4 linked regions of the Caenorhabditis elegans genome follow. The protein of the gene in region 1 interacts with the protein of each later gene in a pairwise test. Each region holds a gene or a part of one and is shown in the gene's direction. Other genes may lie near its edges.

The links.
Region 2: the proteins of php-3 (region 1) and ccch-2 interact in a two-hybrid assay, tested with the Caenorhabditis elegans proteins (one large-scale study listed by BioGRID).
Region 3: the proteins of php-3 (region 1) and F47G4.4 interact in a two-hybrid assay, tested with the Caenorhabditis elegans proteins (one large-scale study listed by BioGRID).
Region 4: the proteins of php-3 (region 1) and gst-7 interact in a two-hybrid assay, tested with the Caenorhabditis elegans proteins (one large-scale study listed by BioGRID).

The regions. Positions count from the first base shown.
Region 1 is NC_003281.10:12,073,701-12,079,588, reverse strand, and holds php-3 (Homeobox protein php-3), read left to right. Parts: upstream 1-2,032; 5' UTR 2,033-2,086; coding exon 2,087-2,430; intron 2,431-3,655; coding exon 3,656-3,867; intron 3,868-3,919; coding exon 3,920-4,107; intron 4,108-4,899; coding exon 4,900-4,983; 3' UTR 4,984-5,371; downstream 5,372-5,888. Other genes in the region: Homeobox protein nob-1, read left to right, coding at 98-333, 1,388-1,486. UniProt on the Caenorhabditis elegans protein: Probable transcription factor, involved in posterior embryonic patterning, morphogenetic movements of the posterior hypodermis, and cell fate specification. May regulate expression of transcription factor dmd-3.
Region 2 is NC_003282.8:16,276,417-16,279,528, forward strand, and holds ccch-2 (C3H1-type domain-containing protein), read left to right. Parts: upstream 1-1,785; 5' UTR 1,786-1,797; coding exon 1,798-2,118; intron 2,119-2,167; coding exon 2,168-2,407; 3' UTR 2,408-2,594; downstream 2,595-3,112. Other genes in the region: F38C2.7 (C3H1-type domain-containing protein), read right to left, coding at 364-975.
Region 3 is NC_003279.8:14,062,791-14,070,550, reverse strand, and holds the start of F47G4.4 (WD_REPEATS_REGION domain-containing protein), read left to right. Parts: upstream 1-1,747; 5' UTR 1,748-1,785; coding exon 1,786-1,798; intron 1,799-2,875; coding exon 2,876-2,991; intron 2,992-4,004; coding exon 4,005-4,262; intron 4,263-4,796; coding exon 4,797-4,937; intron 4,938-4,991; coding exon 4,992-5,139; intron 5,140-5,191; coding exon 5,192-5,292; intron 5,293-5,705; coding exon 5,706-5,885; intron 5,886-5,932; coding exon 5,933-6,070; intron 6,071-6,385; coding exon 6,386-6,684; intron 6,685-6,741; coding exon 6,742-7,073; intron 7,074-7,120; coding exon 7,121-7,285; intron 7,286-7,333; coding exon 7,334-7,506; intron 7,507-7,557; coding exon 7,558-7,662; 3' UTR 7,663-7,760.
Region 4 is NC_003280.10:4,880,247-4,883,905, forward strand, and holds gst-7 (putative glutathione S-transferase 7), read left to right. Parts: upstream 1-1,845; 5' UTR 1,846-1,872; coding exon 1,873-2,005; intron 2,006-2,557; coding exon 2,558-3,045; 3' UTR 3,046-3,112; downstream 3,113-3,659. Other genes in the region: gst-6 (putative glutathione S-transferase 6), read left to right, coding at 252-739; gst-8 (putative glutathione S-transferase 8), read left to right, coding at 3,508-3,640.

The DNA.
Region 1 (5,888 bases):
TCAGTCTGTGTCATCACACAGACGTCTCAGAATATATATATGCTCCATCTTGTTTTATAGTTATTGATTTACTGCAATCAAAATATTTTATTTTCAGATATCACAATTCCAACGACGGCTGGAAGCAGTGCGGCAACAACTCCGAACGCTGCAATGCATCTTCCGTGGGCAATCTCACATGACGGGAAGAAGAAGCGACAACCGTACAAGAAAGATCAGATATCAAGACTTGAGTACGAGTATTCTGTCAATCAATATCTCACGAATAAGCGGAGATCAGAACTCTCTGCACAATTGATGCTTGATGAGAAGCAGGTCAAGGTCTGGTTCCAGGTATGTTATAGGCAGTATTCAGCGGAAAGTCTAGAGATCATAAATGTGAATTTTTATCTAATGTCCTAATGAAAAAAATTCCAGAAATTTTGGTAAATTCCCAAATTTCCTCATTTTTAAAAATTAATTTTGAGCTTCTCTGGATTTTCAAAAAACGAACATCTGAAAAATACTAAATTTCAATATTTTGAACATTTACAAGGTTTGGGCACTAATAATTGAAAAAATACAATATTTAGCGCCAGCCAAAACGAACTCGAAAAAATTGAAAAATTTTTTAAAATTTCCAGAAAAGTTTTGGCAAAATGCCAAATATTTAAACCTGTTCCGACCTCTAGAATGTTTTATAGGAATTTTTTTGGCAGACTTCCAAAATTATGACTTTCAAAAACTGAGTAATTGTCACTTTTCAAACTTGTCAAACTTGTCAAAATTTTCAAAATTTTTTTGGAAAAGTTTTGCTATCATTTTGGCACCACTGGAGTAGTTTTTAACAATTTCCTCACTGGCGCTAATCCATCAATAACCATACTTTAAAAGTTAAAAATTACTTTTCAGCACGTGGTGTCAGAGTATCCCATTTCGGATTGATCTACGTTGATCTACAAAAAATGCGGGATAAGAGGCGCAGAGTTCACAACTGATTTCACATGGTTAAGAACGTGCTGACGTCACCTTTTTTTAGGAAGAAATTCCCGCATTTTTGTAGATCACACCGTAATGGGACAGCCTGGCACCACTTTTTGTAGCCACACTTTTTTGAACTAAAGTAACATTCGTAATTAATTATCAGAGTGCAAATAAATAAGTTGGACATTTGTGAATTCACGTAAAAATGGAAATGTGCAAAAAGGAGGCAAAAGGTGAGCAGGTTTCAGGCAGGCATCAGGCCTTGAAACCGCATCTGCCTACCATGAGAAATAATTGAAAACTTTAGAAACCTGAAACCGCGCCTGAACATTGTCAAAAACCGTAAATATGTTGTTTTGTCTAAACTCCAACCATTTTAACATTGCATGAATTGTTTTGCTTTCTCTTAACTTCACTGTTTCAGAATCGACGAATGAAGGACAAGAAACTGCGTCAACGACATTCCGGGCCATTCCCCCACGGTGCTCCAGTCACTCCGTGCATCGAGCGATTGATCAACTGATTTTCTCTATTTACACAAAGTGTTCTAACTAATGATTTTTTTCTGATTCTTATTCATTATTCAATTTGCTCTCTTCTCTCTCAATTTCATAATTTTTGTCCCAAATCTCGTTTGCACAGGGTTGTGTTTTTAGCCCATTCTTCGTTCTCTCCAACCGGTACCTAGACACCGTTCACTATATTTTTTCCCTTATTGTTTGTCGTCCTCTTTGACTCTTTTTTCGATTCAAGTTCAACTTTCTTTTTCCTTTTTCATGATTTAATAACTCTTTTTTTTCAATTGGCAAGGCACCCATAAAGTTGTTTCGTTTTTCTCTGTACGTGTATGTCTGTCAGTGTATCCTGTACTTCCTGTACTACTTGCTCCTCCGTCGAGCCGATGTTCGTTCTCTACCCCCCAGCAATGCCACAGAGAAAAGCACCACTTTTGGGTCTTTGCCAAACCTGTTTTTGTTTTCCGCTAACAACCTCGTTTTACCCCCGACCTTACCACTTTTCTTTAGTATCTCTCCCCGCTGAAACCCCAAAAATAGTGCTTTTCTTGCAGGCTTGCTCACGGTAGACAACGCCCGAACATCAGCGAGCTCCCGTCATCATCCTAATGATTTCGGTGATGCAACAGATGATGAACAATTCTAATATGCCACCCCCATTTGTGAAGAGCTCTGATTCTCATGAAACTCATGATGAATCACCGACGTCTCCGTTCATTAAACGTTCGGATTCTCCTGCAACAACGTCTTCGGCGGCAGCAGCAGCAATGCAACACAACTTTTGGTCGACAAGAGCTGCACAACTGCAGCAATCTGTATCTGGATCATCTGGTGTTTCTAGTGGTTCCAGCAGTTCTGCATCGAACAATTTATCAAGGACACAAGCGGACAATCATTCGGAACGAGGATCCGACACTGCTTCCAGTCCTCAGGTTGCACCACTCCCAACGAGGTTTGTTAAGTATTTTAAATATCGCGGTCAAGTGGAAACTTTTTAATTTTAACTAGAATACAAATTTGACAATTACCACAACTTCGGCAATAGATAGCCAAATTTTTGCCCATTTCCATAAGCATGAAGTTCCTAAACGCCTAATTTTCTTTCGGCAACTTCAGCGGCCGGCCCCGAAAAATTTCGAATTATAAATAGCCTTGATAATCAGGGGTGGGCGGCAAACGATTTTTTACGGCAAATCGGCAAATTGCCGGAATCAAAAATTTCCGGCAAATCGGCAAATTGCCGGAATTGAAAACTTCAGGCAAATAGGCAAACCGGCAAATTGTGGTTTTGCAATTTTTTTTTCGAAAATTCAGAGTTTCAATTTTAATGGGCAAAATTTTACGCATTCTATGAATGCTCCTACATTTATTTTGAAAATCAAAAAAGCCGGCCACTCGGCAAATTGGCAAATTGTCAGAATCAAAAAATTCCGGCAAATTGGCGAAATTGTAACTTTCGGCCTATCGGCAAACCGGCAAATTGTGGTTTTGCACATTTTTTTTGGAAATTTCAAAAGTTCAATTTTAATGGGCAAAATTTTACGCATTCTATGAATGCTCCTACATTTAATTTGAAAATCGAAAAAGCCGGCCACTCGGCAAATTGGCAAACCGGCAATTTGCCAATTTGCCGATTGCACAAAAATTGCCGAAATTTTTTCGAAAAATTGGAAGCTCGGCAACTTTTAGGCTGCCAGTTGTCGATAGTTGCCGATAGTTTTCAGAAGTTATTGAACTTTCTGAAAATTTGTTAAACAGTGTCAACATTTGTCGAAAGTGGTCGATAGCTGCGGATAGTTTTCAAAAAATGCCAAAAATTGCCAAAAATTGCCGATAGTTACCGAAAATTATTGATTTGTTTTGAAAAGTAGCCAAAATTTGCCGAAAGTTGTTTTTTTTTAATTTTAAGATATACAAAAAATACCCCGACATTATAAATTTCATATTCTTAATTCAATAAGTACACGTAGTGCCAGACTGTCCCATTACGGTTTGATCTAGAAAAAATGCGTGATTTTTTTTGCCCAAAAAATGTGACGTCAGCACGTTCTTAACCATGCAAAATCAGTTGAGAACTCTGCCGCATTTTTTGTAGATCTACGTAGATCAAGCCGAAATGAGACACTGTGACACCAAGTATGTGTTCTCAACACAAAAACCAATAAAATCAATTTCAGCAGTGGTATGTCAATGCCAGCAGCGGCTGCAGCCGGAATGTACCCATTCAATGCTGGTCGATTTCCAACAGAGTTTAATATGATGGTTAATCAATCAATGTACAATGATTTCTATTCAAATAGTCTTGCTGCATCTTCTTGGCCATACTCTTATCCACAACAATATCCGTTTGCAAACTACTCAATGCCAAGTTTAGATGGAAATTTGAATGGTTTGTTAAAGTTTTTAAGCTTTTGAAGTTTTTTTGAAAATTTTTATTTCAGACGGTGGTCAACTAGAATGGACGTCCTCTTCACACGCAATGCGTAAAAAGAGGAAGCCGTATACGAAAGCGCAGACATTGGAGTTGGAAAAAGAGTTTTTGTACAATACCTACGTCAGTAAGCAGAAGCGGTGGGAACTTGCAAAGTACTTGCATTTGACTGAGCGACAAGTCAAAATTTGGTTCCAAGTGAGTATTTTTGGCTTCCATGGTAGGCAGGCGCGGCTTCGGGGCCTGCCTGAAACCTGACCGCCTCTTTTTTGCATTTTGACGTGAATTTTCAAATTTCAAATGTGATGAAAATAAAATTAATAGATGAAAAAGCGCAGATTGAGGCGATAGGCAGGCGAAGGTCGCCTTGAGGCCAGGCAGGCAGGCAGGCTACACGGATGCCCTACTTATTATTAAGATGTTTCATTCCAAATGGACAATTTGATTCAATAATCGTATAACTGCGTGTATCAGAAATTCTGCATCTATTGATTACTAAGAAAACACTAGATTCCGAGGATGCGTTTTGCGCAAAATATCTCGTAGCGAAAACTACAGTAATACGGGCTCGAGTTTTAAAATGGATTATTAATTTATCGATAGAATATTATTATTAAACAAAAGAAACAAATTAATATAGCTCACGTGGTGCCAGGCTGACCCATGACGGTTTGATCTACAAAAAATGCGGGAATTTTTTGCCCTAAAAATGTGACGTTTGAACGTTCTTAACCATGTAAAATCAGTTGAGAACTCTGCCGCATTTTTTGTAGATCAACGTAGATCAATCCGAAATGGGACACTCTGACTCCACGTGATAGCTGTCACAATTCAAAAAAAAAGTTAGTTTCGAAAATTGAGCTCGTAAGTCGACACTACAGTAGTCATTTAAAGAGTAGTTTTCGCTATGAGATATTTTGCGCGTCAAATATGTTGTGCAATACGCATTTTCAGAATTTTGACTTCCAGTAATATTTATATTATTTTCAGAACCGACGAATGAAAGATAAGAAGCAAAAGCAACGAACATCTGGAGATCCAACTGGAATGCTGATGCCACCTGGATTGGATTAACTCGAAATACTTTATTGTAATTGCCCCACCTCACGCGGTGCCTTTCTGTCCCATTACGGTTTGATCTACAAAAAATGCGGGAATTTTTCGCCCAAAAAATGTGACGTCAGCACGTTCTTAACCATACGAAATCAGTTGAGAATTCTGCCGCATTTTTTGTAGATCTAAGTAGATCAAACCGACATGTGACACTCTGACACCACGTGCCACCTGGGTCTAAATTTGCCAAAAACCATACCAACTTGAAATGTTTCCTGAAAAGTTTTCTGTTTCCTTTTAGGTGAATATTGAACTTCTTTTTTTTTCTTCCATCTCTCTCTCTCAACCTTAGCTCAAATGTTCTACTTCATTATATCACCACCATTGATCCGCATTTAATAAATTCAATTTACCGGTACAAACTACTTTACTCTCCTCAATATATTCCCTCAATAATCTTTTTTTTAATTTTAACTTTTTTTTGTATCGGATTTTCTGAAAAAACAAATTTTTTAAACAGTTTTTTTGAATCTTTCAAAAGTTAGATTGTGTTTCGCCATTTACACGGATTTCTGGCTTCCCTCATAAATTGAAATGGAAGAGTTTGCCGAACTAGGCCATTATGGCTCGGCCACATCTGGGGTAGATTTACGGTGCGTTGCGTGTCGCGTCGCGGCTCGATTGTAAAACTAAATGTAATTGTCCGTGTGGAGTACACGACACTTTTCCACGCGTTGTCCGACAGGCGATTGTCAATGGAGCGCGAAAAATTCAATGAGGAAGGCCAGAACCCCGTGGTGGACCTAAATTTTCACAAATTTTGAACAAAATGGGCCTAAATATTCACAAATTTTGAGCAAAATGGGCCTAAATTTTCACAAATTTTGAGCAAAATGGGCCTGAATTTTCACAAATTTTGAACAAAA
Region 2 (3,112 bases), on another chromosome or scaffold:
CATTAATATGATTAATGATTTGAAGGTTACTTAACCATTTCCAACTATAGTTTTCATTTTAATACAAAAACTAAACTTAGATTGATTTTTTAAAATTTTCGAAACACTGTGTGTTCCAAATATATGTATAATTACAAATTTGAAAACAAAAAAGTCAAAATTTATTTTTTAAAAATATTTCAGATTCAAAGCCTTTATAAAATTTTGAGACAGATGGGTAGAACACAGATAGGAAAAGAATTTTATTACTTTGTAAAATAATAGAAAATGACAAACGATAATTGCCAAAAATATGGAAAAATAGAGGAAATATTGAGCATTAGGGAATTTAAAAATTAATATAAGATAACAGGATTAAAAAATTCATTGAAGAAGAGCTGAGCAATGCCAATTTGGCAATAAACTTGTTGAGTCCAGAGCAAATGCACGAAAAACGTCCGATTGAACATTCAGGTCAATGGTAATATTTTCCATTTTATTTGATTGATTTGAAGAAGTTGAGTTCATAGATCTGTGGATGAACTGACACCTGATTCCGTACTTGCAATGCCCAGTTGTTGAGAAGTTATTGCAAAGTACTGTTTTATAGTTACGGTGGTTTCTTTTGGTCTGTGGGAAGCGGAGCTCATGTACACTGTGAGCAAATTTACATTTTTCACCATAAGCACATTTTTGGCCTCTTCTGTGAAAACCACAAAGGGATGTCTTGAATGCTTCTTCTTTCTTTTTCAAACTCTTCATTTCTTGGTGAAGCTCATCTGGAATTGTGCAGGGATCTCGGTTGGCCAATGATTGATTAGAAAACAATTTTTGTTCAGTTTCATTTTGATTCACAAAAAGTGAGAATTGGGCTTCTTCATAAGATCCTGATGAAGATGGTGGAGAAAGCAATGGAGGGGTAGTTCCAGCTGGGAAAGCACATTTCAGAAGGAAACTGGAGAGAGAGTTTTCTTGGTTGCTTGCTTCAACAGACATTGTAGAAGTTTTGGGTAGTTTCTGGAAAAAAATAATGAAAAACGATATCAAGAGAAGAATTTGGTAGAACGATTAAAAAGAAGTAAAAATTAGTGAAAAAGTGGAAAGTCAAAGATTAAAATGGTTTCGTCTAACTGGATCCTAGCAGAGTTTCAGAAAGATATTTAAAAAAAACAAAAAAATTACTGCTTCAAACATGTATTATATGAAACATAGTGGTCATAGTGTATTGAATAATATTTTCTGTCTAATACAAAACATAGAAATAACATTTTAGAAAACAACAGTTATTAAAAAATTAAAGTAGCAAAAAAGGATCAACCACTCATGATGAGAGTAAAATGTGTGAATGACATATTTGGCAGTCTATCTTCCGGAAAAAGAATGAACGCTGCAACAGCATCTAATCGATAGCAAGCTCCGCCCATTTACAGGCCACACTCTCTGTGAAAAGGAGACGATATGTACCAGTAAATGGGCGGAGCCTAACCTAGCTATCGATTGGATAAAGTTTCAGCGTTCAAGAGGTTGCCTGATGACAGGATGACAATTGTGTCATTCATGCAAACAACTGTCATCCTGGGCGGTCGTTTTCTCATTTTTTCGCTAAAATATTGTTTTTTTTTGTATATTTTTCATTTTTGCCCGACTTGTAACGGTATCTAAAACTTTTCTTTGTTGCACTGTATATTTTGTATGTCTATTGAAATCTCTACTTTGAATGCTATTTTGCCTTATTAAGGATCAATTAAAAATTGAGTTAGAAGTTTTTTCTGAGATTTTTGTTAACTAAAACAGTTTAACTTTCAGAAACCCCTCAAAATGTCTAATCCACTTGCCGTTGACGTCCCAACTTTTACCAAATTGCACAATGTTGCTCAGTGGCTCTCTCAGCAGCCACCTTCTCCAAGACTGTTTGATCAGAAAGAAAATGGCTTCTCGCAGAATTTTCAACCATTCTTGAAGACAGTAAACTCATGCACAATTCCTGACGATCTCCACGAAGAAATGATGCGATTGAAAAGAAAAGAAAATGCATTCAAAACTGCTCTTTGCAAGACGTTTCAGCTCACACGAGCATGCTCATACGGGGAGCAGTGCAAATTTGCTCACAGTGTCGAGGAGCTGCAGCTGAAACAGAAGGTAAACTTTGAGCTCAATGAAGTTTTAATTTAAGTGTTAAATTTTTCAGAACCGTGGAGTCAACCACCCAAAGTATAAGACAGTTCTCTGTGACAATTTCTCTAGAACTGGACACTGCAAATATGGGACAAAATGTCAGTTTATTCACAGAGCTGTTGAGCCAACTCCAGCTCAAAATCCACTGATGCCCCAGTTTTCTTCATGGTTTGCTCCTTCATCGGGTCTTTCTCGGGAGTTTCTTGACAATTTTGGAGCATCTGCATCCAGCTCTAGCACTGACTTCTCTTAACTTTATTCTTTCATAATTTGTTTTATTCCTAATAACTTTTAATTATTGTTAATTTTCTATAATTACCATTATGTTTCTAAATTAATTTTTATCTGGAAATTTCTGGGGTTTTTGTCGAATCCACATTTATTTTTGACACTTTTCAAATTTTTCTATTCTGAATCATTTTTGAATAAAATTTATATTTTTCTTCGCAAAATAGTATTTGTCATGAAATAATTTTCCAATTTATTTATTACGGGAGTTACTTTTTTTTTAATTTGGAAAAAAACGGCACTGTTTCATCTAGTTTTTAAATTTGAACGTTTTTTTATTATTATTACTATACGATGTTCTCTTAAAAACAAAAATTTCTATCAAAATTTAAGTTAAAGTTAGAATTGAAATTTGACTCATTTTCTCATTCACATGGCACCAGAATGTCAATGCTGTGACGTCTCAGTGTTTTTTCCAGAATTTTATTTAAATGCAAACCTATGCGAACCCTGTGGCACTCAGTTGTCCTAAACAAAAAAGTGAAAAAAATCTAATTTTTCATGATTTCAAATTGTATATTTATAAAAAATACATATTTTTAAAGTTTAATCTTCGTATTGAGAACGTCTTAGTTGTAAATATGTACATTCAAAAACTACATGAAACTGTAAAGTTTTTTTTTGATAAAGTACATTTTTTTCTAAAAAAAAAACAATTTCTATTTAAAAA
Region 3 (7,760 bases), on another chromosome or scaffold:
TTTAAAATTGTAGATTAAAAAAAATTGAAATTTTTTTTGAGCAAATTTTGAAGCCATTTTAACTTTGCCAATTTGCAAGCTATCAAAAAGTAGTTCACTAGTAAATTATAGAACTAAAATTTTACTACATTTTATTAGTTAAAAAGTTTCTGACAGCTGTTTTAGTTTTGGAGATACATGAGTTTTAAAATTGTAGATTTAAAAAATTTGAAAAACATTTTTCAAAATTTTCAAACCCCTGTAATTCTGAAACTATGAGACTTGTCAAAAAGTTGCCAACTAACAAAATTTAGCAAATTTCTTGTCAATTAATTTTTTAGTTGACAATTTTTTCTATGTTCATTTATTTTGAAGCTAGAGAGCCACAACTATATAGAATTTTATTTTTTTGAATCAATTTTCTCCAACTTTTCAAGTATTTTACGCATTATTCATACCTTAAAAGTGACATTTATTACGAAAAAGTGATAAGGGGGTACCCTATGGCAAACATGTACTCCTCCTCCTCACTCACGTTCCGTTTTTGCTCTCACTTTATTTGCTCTCTGTCTTTGCTTTTTCTTGTGTTTTTTTTTTGTGAATTTTGCTCCGTTTTCCGCTAGTTTTCCTTTTCGACTACCGAAAAAGAGCATTTTCGGTGATAAAAAATTACTTTGCAAAATTTTGCTAAACTAGAAAAAAACATTTTGTGAGGGAATTTTTTGCTGAAAAATATGAAGTTTCTTAAAACAAGAAAAGCTTTTAAAATCTATTAAAACTTTAAGTTTTTTTAAAAATCATTTTTAAATTTTATAAATATAAAATTATTTAATTTTTAACCACCTTTTCGAAACATTGATATCTTTAACTATTATCATATTTTCAACAAATTTTTCATATTTTGTTAAATTGTAAAAATAAAATTTAAAATATGATAATAGGAAAAGATTTCAACGTTTCAAAAATGTGGTTAAAAATGAAAATTAAAAAAAAATCTTAAATTTGTTTTACTGTTACATCTTTAAAAACTACAAAATTTATTTCAAAATTTATTTTTGAAAATTGTTTAAACTAAGCAAATTTAAAAAAGTTTTAAATCACTCCAACTTCAAAAAAAATTAAAAATTGTTGTGGTTTTTTTTATTTTTAGTTTGAACTTCCATATTTCAAAAACTACTGAATTAATTAAAAAGTTGTCAACTAACAAAATAAAGGAAATTTTTTGCTTAACATTTTGTAAATTGACAACTTTTTGATAACTTTTCACAAATTTGAGGTATGGTAGTTTTTTCTTTTATAACTTTTTATTGGTGGCAGCTATCAAAAAGTTGGCAACTAAAAAAATGGTGCAAATGTTATGCTTAACATTTTGATAGTTGACAATTTTTAAAAATCTTCAGTTTCCCAGAAGTTATGCCACTTTTTCTCTCCCCCCCCCCCTCCTCGAGTTCTTCCTTGTTTTCATCTATTTTCGGCCCTTTTTCCAAAATTCATTGGATTGATTCTTTCCAATGTTTTTCAATGTTTTTTTCATGGTGTTCGGTTTTAGGATTTTAATTGAAAACACACACCCTGGTGTCTATTTTGTCTATTTTCCCGAAAAAAAAATCCGAAAATAAAATTTTCCCCCTTCTTTCTGTCTCGACGCTCTATAAATTCAATTTCCCTCTTTTTTTCTCACTTTTTCTATTTTTTTTTCACTACTGTACAGCTCTTTAAACTGCGGTTATTTTTGGAAATTTCAGCTAATTTCAAGATTTTTTTTCAGTGTCATATTCTTCCCATGCGGAGCAAATTGTACAAAACATGAAAATTGAAGGTTGGTTTTGATTTTTTTAATTTAGAAAATGCTAATTTTAATTAAAAATACATATGTATGCTGGTTACTAAAAAAATTTCAAAAAAATTTTCCAATTTTCAAAAAAAAAATTTTTTCGAGATTTTTTCAAACTTTCATATCTCCAAAACTACGAGAGCTATTAAAATGTTGCCAACTATCAAAACATAGAAAATTGTGTGATAAACATTTTCATCGTTGACAAAATTTTGATAGCCTTGCTCTCCGCAGAGTTAGAGGAGCCTGAAGTTTGTTGGTACTGCGTTCAGGCTGACTGGAATCTTATAGGGTAACAACTATAGGTTTTAAGGTACTTTTACAGTAAAAATTAATAAAATATTGCTCTTTACAATGTCATAAGTAAAATTTAGAAAAAAACCACAATTTTGAACATTTGAAAGTTTTTGACCAAAAATGTTTTTTTTTCTCAAAAAACATATTTCTCCAAAATTTCTAAAATTTTGCTCACAATCAGACTTTAAATTTCATCCAAATCTATTCCAAACTCTCTAACTATGCCAATTGATGACGTAAACTCTAACCCAAGCTTCTGGGGTGGAAAAGTAATTAAATTTTAGTATTGTGGTGCACCCGCCTGGAAATTGGAAATTGGATGTGTTCCATGCTCCTCTAAGAGAAAAGAGGGCCGTAAAAATAAAAGTACAAATGTATTCCCAAAGGGTTTGTCTAAATTTGGAGGAGAAAAAAAAAATTTGTTCGAATCTCAAAATATAAAATTTCCAATTATAAATTAAAAATTTGCACTTTTGGATTAGTATATATTGAAAATTTCAGAGCCGTAGCTTAACTTTGCACTGAGTTATAAGGCTTCAAAGTATCTAGTTCAACCGCGACGCAACCGCGCCGCACCTACTTAACTTCAAAGCCCTGTAACTCAGCTCAAAATTGACCTACAGCTTTGAAATTTTTTCTCAGAGCTGATTTTAAATTAAGCTTTCATTATCGTTAGCAACCAATTCATTGGGCCGCGACGCAACCGCGTCGCTTCAACCAAATTTTGAAACTCCTTAACATATAGCAACCTTTCCCATTTTTCAGTGGTATCGGCACTACCGCACTCGACGGTCCATTCGGCAGTCCTTTCGCGTCGACACCGCTCCGTCATCTGCGCGGGACCATACGAAGTGCTTCCACTGGAGGGGTGTTCTGAGCCGGTAAGTGTTCTTTTTGTAGTCCAGGGCCATCTGCTTATAATGAGTGGGACCACATGTTGCGAGTCTCTTTCCAGAGCAATTATTCATTGTTTTGGGGCGTTTTTGGGGTCAGACGGATATAAAAGGATTATCCAGATTTTTAAAAAATCTTACATTGTTCACAGTTTGCAGTCAAACTTTGGAAAAAACCTAAATTACAGTGTCAAAAAATTTCAGAGCTCTCGGTCTTTTGAGAGCTAAGATATGAAGCTTTAGAATTTTGACCAGGCGTTGCGGTCGCGTCGCGGCCACCTCCTAAACTTTAAAGCTTGATAAATTTGCTCACCAAGGTCCTAAAGCTCTGACATTTTTGCAGAAGCCTCAAAATTACATGTACTATTCAAATATCTAGCTTTAAACTTTTTAAGCAACAAAAAAAATTTTCGGCCACCCATTTAATTTCCTCCTCTTCCGATCTTCCCCCACCCCGTATAATCCTCTTTGTACCTAACGAGCCGTCAATAATCCCCTCGGCACTTTCGCTGCTTATCGAACCGTAGTTGTCAATTTGAGAAGTGTTACTGTCTCTGCGTCTCGCCTCTCTAATAACAAGATTCTGCCCAGCGATAAGTTTTGATCCGGAATTCTCATGGGGATGCGAACATTGAAAAAGGGTGTGAAAGGGTTCCATATCTAGATGATTGATCTGCTGGGCAGGGAATTTGAAAAGTCTTTGGGAAGGGGGAGCTGGAAAATTTTCAATAGGTTCATAACTTGACAGGAAATGTTGAAAAGAATAGCTCTAGCCGATCTAAAACTTCAGAAAAAATTTCAGAGCTCTGGCACGCTTTGGAGCATAGTTATGGTGCATCGAAAATTGGCGCATGCGGCGCGGTCGCGTCGCGGTTATCTAACTTGGCTCAAAATGGTCCTAGAGCTCTGAAATTTTTTGAGTGACTCTGTTAAGTTTACCACATTCTAATTTTCTATAAAAGCTTGAAATGTACCTATTTATACAAAAACAAATTTTTCAGCTCCCAAGCACCTCAACTCTCAGTGAGCTACCCATCGAGTGCCTCCGACTCTCCACAGATGAACGGACGATCGGTGCGGCGACAAATGCGATTCTCAAAGTTGCGGATATTATAACAGGTCACGAGGTGCGGAATCTAACGGGACACACCTTGCCAATAACCTCCCTAGCCGCTAGCAAGTTCAACCCTTACTGCTGGTACACCGGGTCATCGGATTGTGATTGGACGCAGTGGGATACTAGGATGAATCCGTCTAAAGTGAGTTGAAAAGTGCAAAAATACTATCCAAAAAGTGTCCAAGCTTCAAATCCTCTGTGATACCGAGCCGCGACGCAACCGCGACGCGTGCCCAAATTTTTATCAAAAATGGCAGATAAATACTAGATAACACTATTGGCCAAATTTCACACCTCCGACTCAATTGTGAGCAAAGCTTTGACATTTTAAAAATTGAGGTAGACCGCGACGCGACACGCGACGCACTGCCGAAATTTTATGGCACCGTAACTTTGCTCCCAGTCGTCGTAGGATTTTGAAACTTTTTGTGAAAGCATTCTCTAGAAACAGACTTTTTTATAGACTTTCAACGCGCGTTGTAAAAGAAACTTTCTAATTTTGAAGATCGACCGCGACGCGACACGCGACGCACGCCCAAAACTTCAATACCACATAACTTAGCCCATAGTGGTCCAAATTTTCTGAAACTTTTTGTAATCACCATATCTGAAATAAAGCAGTTTTTTAAAGCGTTCCCAAATTTTCTGAAACTTTTCAAAATATAATGATTTTCAGATTTTCGGGTCCAAAACCCCTGGCGTTGTTCGAAGTATCGCATTATCACCTGGTGATCGCTATGTAGCAGTTGGCACCGACGAAACTATACAGATTTTCGACGCCAGGCAGCGGGAATTTATCAAAACTTTTAACTGTTCGGTAGGTGCTTTTCACTGGAATTTCTGACCATTTTTAAAAAATCAAATTTTGCAGGGTCACGCACTAGAGCTTCACCCCAGCGATGTGCTCCTCTCCTCCGTTGGTCATGATAGGATAGTTCGGTTTTTCTGCCTAGAGACTTTTGAAATGATATCTCAATCCGATCCGTTTCTGGATGATATTCAAGCCAGCGCTTTTGATAGTAAGAATTATATTTAATTTTGGGCCAAAAACATCAAAAAATTGAATTTCAGCCCACGTCATGATAGCTGCTACCAATGATTCTATCAACCTGCTCACTTGGGAGCCCTGCTGTGATATTCTAACGACAGTACCTCTGAAAAATGTGGAGAAGGTAGGGATAGTAACTTGACAACACTTTTGGCTCACTGAAAAATGTGAGCAAAAAGTGTTGTCAGTGTGTGCTCTAGTATTAAAGATCCTGTAACTTGCGTACCAGTTGACGTAGAGTCTTCAAATTTTTAGACGACACTTGTAAGCTTTCACCCACGCGTTGCGGTTGCGTCGCGGCTTGGCCATCAAATTTCTTAGCTCTGTAACTTAGCCAACTAGTAGTCCTATAGACTTGAAACTTAGTCAAAAAGTCACATCGGAAAGCAAATTCCTATCTTATTTTCATGAATCCAAATTTCTAAAAATGTTCATTTTAAGGCATTAACCCAACATTTCAACGCCAGTTATGATTGATTATTTTTTGGCGGAGATTCCAATCTTCTTCCCTTTGTTATGAATTCCATGCCATTTCAGGTCGTCAACGTGAATGCAAACGGTCTGGATTTAGACTTTATTTGCATTGGAGACAACACTGAACGTCTCGAAATGCGCACCTACGCTATAGAAGAGCTGCTCTCCTATTCGCCGAGCCACGAGCTCTGCGGGAGCATTTACGAGGAGGATGAGGATGTGGATAACTCGCCGATTGATGAGGTATTAGCTTTGGGTTTGTACTTGGGGTTAATGTAGGAATTTTCCAGGTAAAAGCGCTACCGGAGCTCACAGAGTTATCGAATTTGCCGCCGAGGTCGCCTGGCTTGTCATGTGAAGAGACGGAGACGTCAGCGTCACCTGTGAATAGTAGCAGCAGCCATTCTAGCCCGACTAGTCCCGTTAAGGTAAGAATAAATTTTTGTCAGAGGCCCATATCTTAAGTACGGACTGCTTCTGGGCCAGTTTAAAAGGCTTCCGAGTCTCATTTTATTGGCCTAAAAACTCGTAAGCTGTCTCAAGTCGTTAGTCTCAATTGCAATTTTCCAGTTTTAGACCAAAGTCTGTATCTAAGTTCAATCCCCTCAATCTTCCTCACAAGACAGTCTTTGAGCTTTGTAAAACCTAAAAGAGCTCTCCATATATTTTCAAACCCTCTAGGGAGTTCCCTCTCCCCTGCTCCAACAGCCGCAGCTTGACATCCAACCTCTTAAATCTTACAGCCAGCTCCCGTCAAACACCGATCGGCATCTCAGAAGCTTCCTGGAAAATCGACCAAGACCCTGAACCCAAAACCAGCGGGGTCCACACGCTCTGTGACCCCAGTCTCCACAAAGCCACCTCGAACATTTGGCACCGCAAAGAGTGTGATTGTCTCGTCGAAGCCATCACTAAGCGGGTACAATAACCGCGCGAATCCGTCGCCTTCTATGTCGGATTTGAGGACGACAAAGTCGATGGCAGGGTCTACGACGTCTTTGTTGAGTGAGAGGGCTCCGAAGAAGCGGTCAACGTCGAGCCGGTAAGCAGGACTAGAGGAAGTAAAGTTTCAAAACTCTAAAACTTTCCAATTTTCCAGCCGTAACCAAGAGCCCATCACCATCACCTACATTGGCCGCCCACGTACCCCTAGCGAAGGAGACGTCGCATCTACAGTATCCTCCTCCACATCCCGCAACCGTCGCCCATCGCCTTCCGTGGCGAAGAAGACCTCCCCTCCGTCAATCTACGCGATCACCTCTTCCCCGGCCAAGCGTGCCTCCTCCACCGCTTCAGGGCCTACTGCCAGACGCCAGAATTCCACGTCATCGGTGACCTCTACCACGTCGGCCAAGACGCCTGTAGGGGTCTGGGGAGCTTGTATAGAAACTGTACATGACATCGGGATAGTTGCGAAGAAGGAGAATAGAAGTGAGTTATTTAGGATCTAGCTTGAAGCGTTAACTACTGGAATTCAGACATCCGACGGCTCAAGATGCTTACCTCCCGTCGAACGAGCAACGTGGATATCCCTCCAGAAGTGTGCTCCGATGAGCAACTAGTGTTAACCGCCACGAGGATACTGAGCAGGAGGAACGATTGGTCATTGAACAGCTGTCATGCCTACCTTCCAGTCATAATAGGTAATCTTGCTTGGTAGTGAAGGTCGTAATGATGTTTTGAACTTTCAGACAACATAGCCAGTGTAGACGTTACAAATCGAGCTATAGCCCTGGAGGGTCTCGCAGCGATCGCTGACACCCTGGGGGAGAGGCTCGTGAAGTTTGCGTCCATGAACTCCCATAGGATAGGAGTAGATGTGGCGGCGGAGGAGAGGGCCGAGAAGGCGAAGGCATGTGTTCAGGTAGGCATCTTGTAGGGGTTTTGCCCTTATTAACCCTACAAATAATTCCAGCACCTCCGCTCCCTGGTCAAAAAACGCGACTGGTACTACAAACAACTCGACGAGCCATCCATTCTCAAACTCGACCCGATTCTAGAGCTTTTAAAGAAGATCTAGCTACCTCATCTGTGATATATTGTTAAGCATTCCCACCACCACTCGCATTTTTGTTCTTTTGTCTTGTCTTTCAGTCATTTGGGTCAGAGATTTTCAGG
Region 4 (3,659 bases), on another chromosome or scaffold:
TGATTGTTTTTTTTATTTCCTGATTTAGGGTGATCAGTCAGAAGTTCAGAAAAAAGGTTGTAGGTACGAGGAAAACTTGATGCTTGAAACTTTTTATGGAATTGTGCTTTCTGACAACATCTTGGACACTGTGGAAAAGTCGCTCCTGGAGATCGAACTAATCCGAAAAATTTTCTAAGACCTTCATACTTTTTTAAAATTAAGATTAGATTTTATTTTAAAACACTTCTCCTCAAATTTCAAATTTCTAGACACTCCATTCGGTCAATTGCCAATTTTGGAAGTCGATGGAAAACCATTGGGACAGTCATATGCAATTGCTCGGTACTTGGCCAGAGAGTTCGGAATTGCTGGACAAAATGACACCGAGGCGGCAGAAGTGGATGCAATTGCTGATCAATTCAAGGATTATCTCAACGATGTCTCCCCATATTTAACAGTTCTTGCTGGATTCAAACCTGGAGACAAGGATCAACTGAGAACTGATGTTTTTGTTCCAGCTTTCAAAAAGAATTTCGAGTTTTTCGAGAACATTCTGGCATCTAATCACAGTGGTTTCTTTGTTGGAAACTCTTTGACATGGGTGGATCTTTTGATTTCGCAGCACGTTCAAGATATTTTGGATAAAGATTTGGCAGTTGTTGAGGAGTTCAAGAAGGTTTTGGCACATCGTAAGAAGGTTCAGAGCATCGACAGAATTCAGAAGTATATTGCAAACCGTCCAGATTACCCATTCTAAATTGAAATGAGTTTGCAATTTTGTATTATTTTTTAATTCATATTTCAAGAAGCAATTTTTTGCTAATTTGTTTTAATGGAAATCGATGTTTCTAAAATATCTTGAATGAATTGTTCTTTTAAAAATTTTATGGTAAAGTTTTCAGCAGGATGTTTCTATAGAAGCTTTTTGCATTGCAAGAGTGTTGAAATATACAGGATATTTACAAAAGCCTGGGAAGTAGGCATGCTTTTAGGTACAAATCAGACCTACACCGCCTTCCTTTGTGGTTTACCATCATAGCTAAAACTTTCCGAACATTCCCTGGTGAGACACAATGTTCAAAGCACAAAACCAATCACGTCATAATGTTAATTTGACTTTTATTGTCAAAAATTACAAAAGCGTCGTTTTCTGGAACATGAACATAATAAGAATTTTCAAATTTCGGTGGGCACAATAAATATGTAATCTTTTATTTATTTTTGGAGGATAGTCTTTTCAAAGGCAGGTGTATAACCCTCAAAAGAAAGCACGTTTGTGTTTCAAAGTGAGACTTAAATTATTTCAAAGACAAATTCCATAGGAAATCATTGTTCATCAGGCACCTTCCCAGAAATTAGGCTGTAGGCAGGCACGTAGGCTGCGGTAAATGCCTACGCCTCTTTTGCGCGAGATTATGAAATTGTGTTGTACTGTCGGAAAAATTTCAGAAACAAAAAAAAATATTTTTTGTGACTTTTTGTGTCAGTTATAGTAGTTTCTTATCATGGTATCTTCAATAATAATGGCAAGCGTAACAAGATGATTGATGCCATGGGTTTATATTTGTGAGTAGTCACAAATTGTGACACAACATTCCCTTCGAAAGATCTGGAAAAGTCACAAAACCTTGCATATATTTTTTTCAACCAATATTATTTTGACCTACTCTGTTCATCGTAACATTGCAACAACAAAAAACGATGACTACACTTTATGATTTCTAGTCAACAACGTGCGCGCAATGTGTAGAGCAAATGATGACAAACTACAGAATATGGTGAGTGGAGAGACGACAGACATTTGAGAAATGGGTATAAATAGAGACGGCCGGCATTCAGTGTTCAACCCTTCTCATCGACCACTCGATTTCTTGCTTGGTTATTTCAACAATGGTCCACTACAAGGTATCGTACTTCCCAATTCGTGGAGCTGGAGAGATTGCTCGTCAGATCTTGGCCTACGCTGGACAAGACTTCGAGGACAACAGAATCCCAAAGGAGGAATGGCCAGCTGTCAAGCCAAGTGAGTTTGGGATTGAAAATTATTGTTTGAATAGGTGCATAGATATTGAAATTGTTAGTTGAAATCTTATAAGTAGTTCCAAATTAAAAATTCATTTTAGAAATAGTTGCAGGCTTTTAGTTAAGCTGTCTTTGGTTTTATCAAAAAAATTTTGACTGACAAAATACGTGAAGAATATACTTTTAAATATTGTCAGTTAAACATTTTTTGATAAAAGTTAAGAGAACCGAGATGTAAGCCGTTAAAGTAGCAGGTACGGTATATTCCTTACCTTTCCTGTTCCTATTAACTAGGTCACACAAATTGCCTTTTTGCCTTTAGAGTAGATTGAAGTTGTTATTGAGTTACTTTTTGAAAGTTATTGAAATTTCGGTGTTCGAATGAATAGACCTTGAAAAAGGAAAAAAAAATTCAAGGCTAAACTCTAGGCAGTTTGACACCTAGAGATGTAAACAAAGTGCTTGGTATGACTGAGAGATAGAAGTTTGGAGTCAATGATTGTTTACTCAAAGAAAACTTTGAACTTTAGGTTTTAATTATATTATTTTTCAGGCACTCCATTCGGACAGCTTCCACTCCTTGAAGTTGACGGAAAGGTTCTTGCCCAATCTCATGCTATCGCCCGTTACTTGGCTCGTCAGTTCGGAATCAATGGAAAGTGTGCATGGGAGGAGGCTCAAGTCAACTCGGTTGCTGATCAATTCAAGGATTACCTCAACGAAGTTCGTCCATACTTCATGGTGAAGATGGGATTTGCTGAAGGAGATCTCGATGCTCTTGCCAAGGACGTCTTCCTTCCAGGATTCAAGAAGCACTATGGATTCTTTGCTAACTTCCTCAAGTCGGCTGGATCCGGATACTTGGTTGGAGACTCTTTGACCTTTGTCGACTTGCTCGTCGCTCAGCACACTGCTGATCTTCTGGCTGCCAACGCAGCTCTTCTCGATGAATTCCCACAATTCAAGGCTCATCAGGAAAAGGTTCACTCGAATGCCAACATCAAGAAGTGGTTGGAGACTCGTCCAGTTACTCCATTCTAAATGATTTCCAAATTCACATGGTCTCTTTATGTATTTTTGTATTGATATGGGATAAATGATTGCATTGAAATCTATTTATTCTGAAAAGTTCTCTAAAAAATAAGATAGCAGAAGCAACCGATATATTTGTTCAGACATCCGAATCATCATGAAAAGGCACTTTTTGAACTGAGTTGTCAGTAACATCTGCGCAGTGGGAAGAGTAAATGATGACAAACTTTAAAGTTTCCAATATACTCTTTATTTTAATGTACATTTATCTAATTCAACCAGTTCATTGAAACAGACATAACGCCAAACTATATTTGTGGTTTGTTGTCAGCAGAGTGCGATCAAAGCAGTGATGACTTAACAGTACACACACACTTAGAGAATATGAGTATAAATAGAAACTTCTTGGTTTTTATTTCAAACTGTATCACAGACTTGTACTCCCCAATTACTTGAAAAGTGGTAGTAATAATGGTCCACTACAAGCTATCATATTTCCCCATCCGTGGAGCTGGAGAGGTTATTCGACAGATATTTGTATATGCTGGACAAAGCTTTGAGGATCATAGAATTTCAATAGAGGAATGGGCAGCTGTCAAACCAAGTGAGTTTAAGCTATTTAA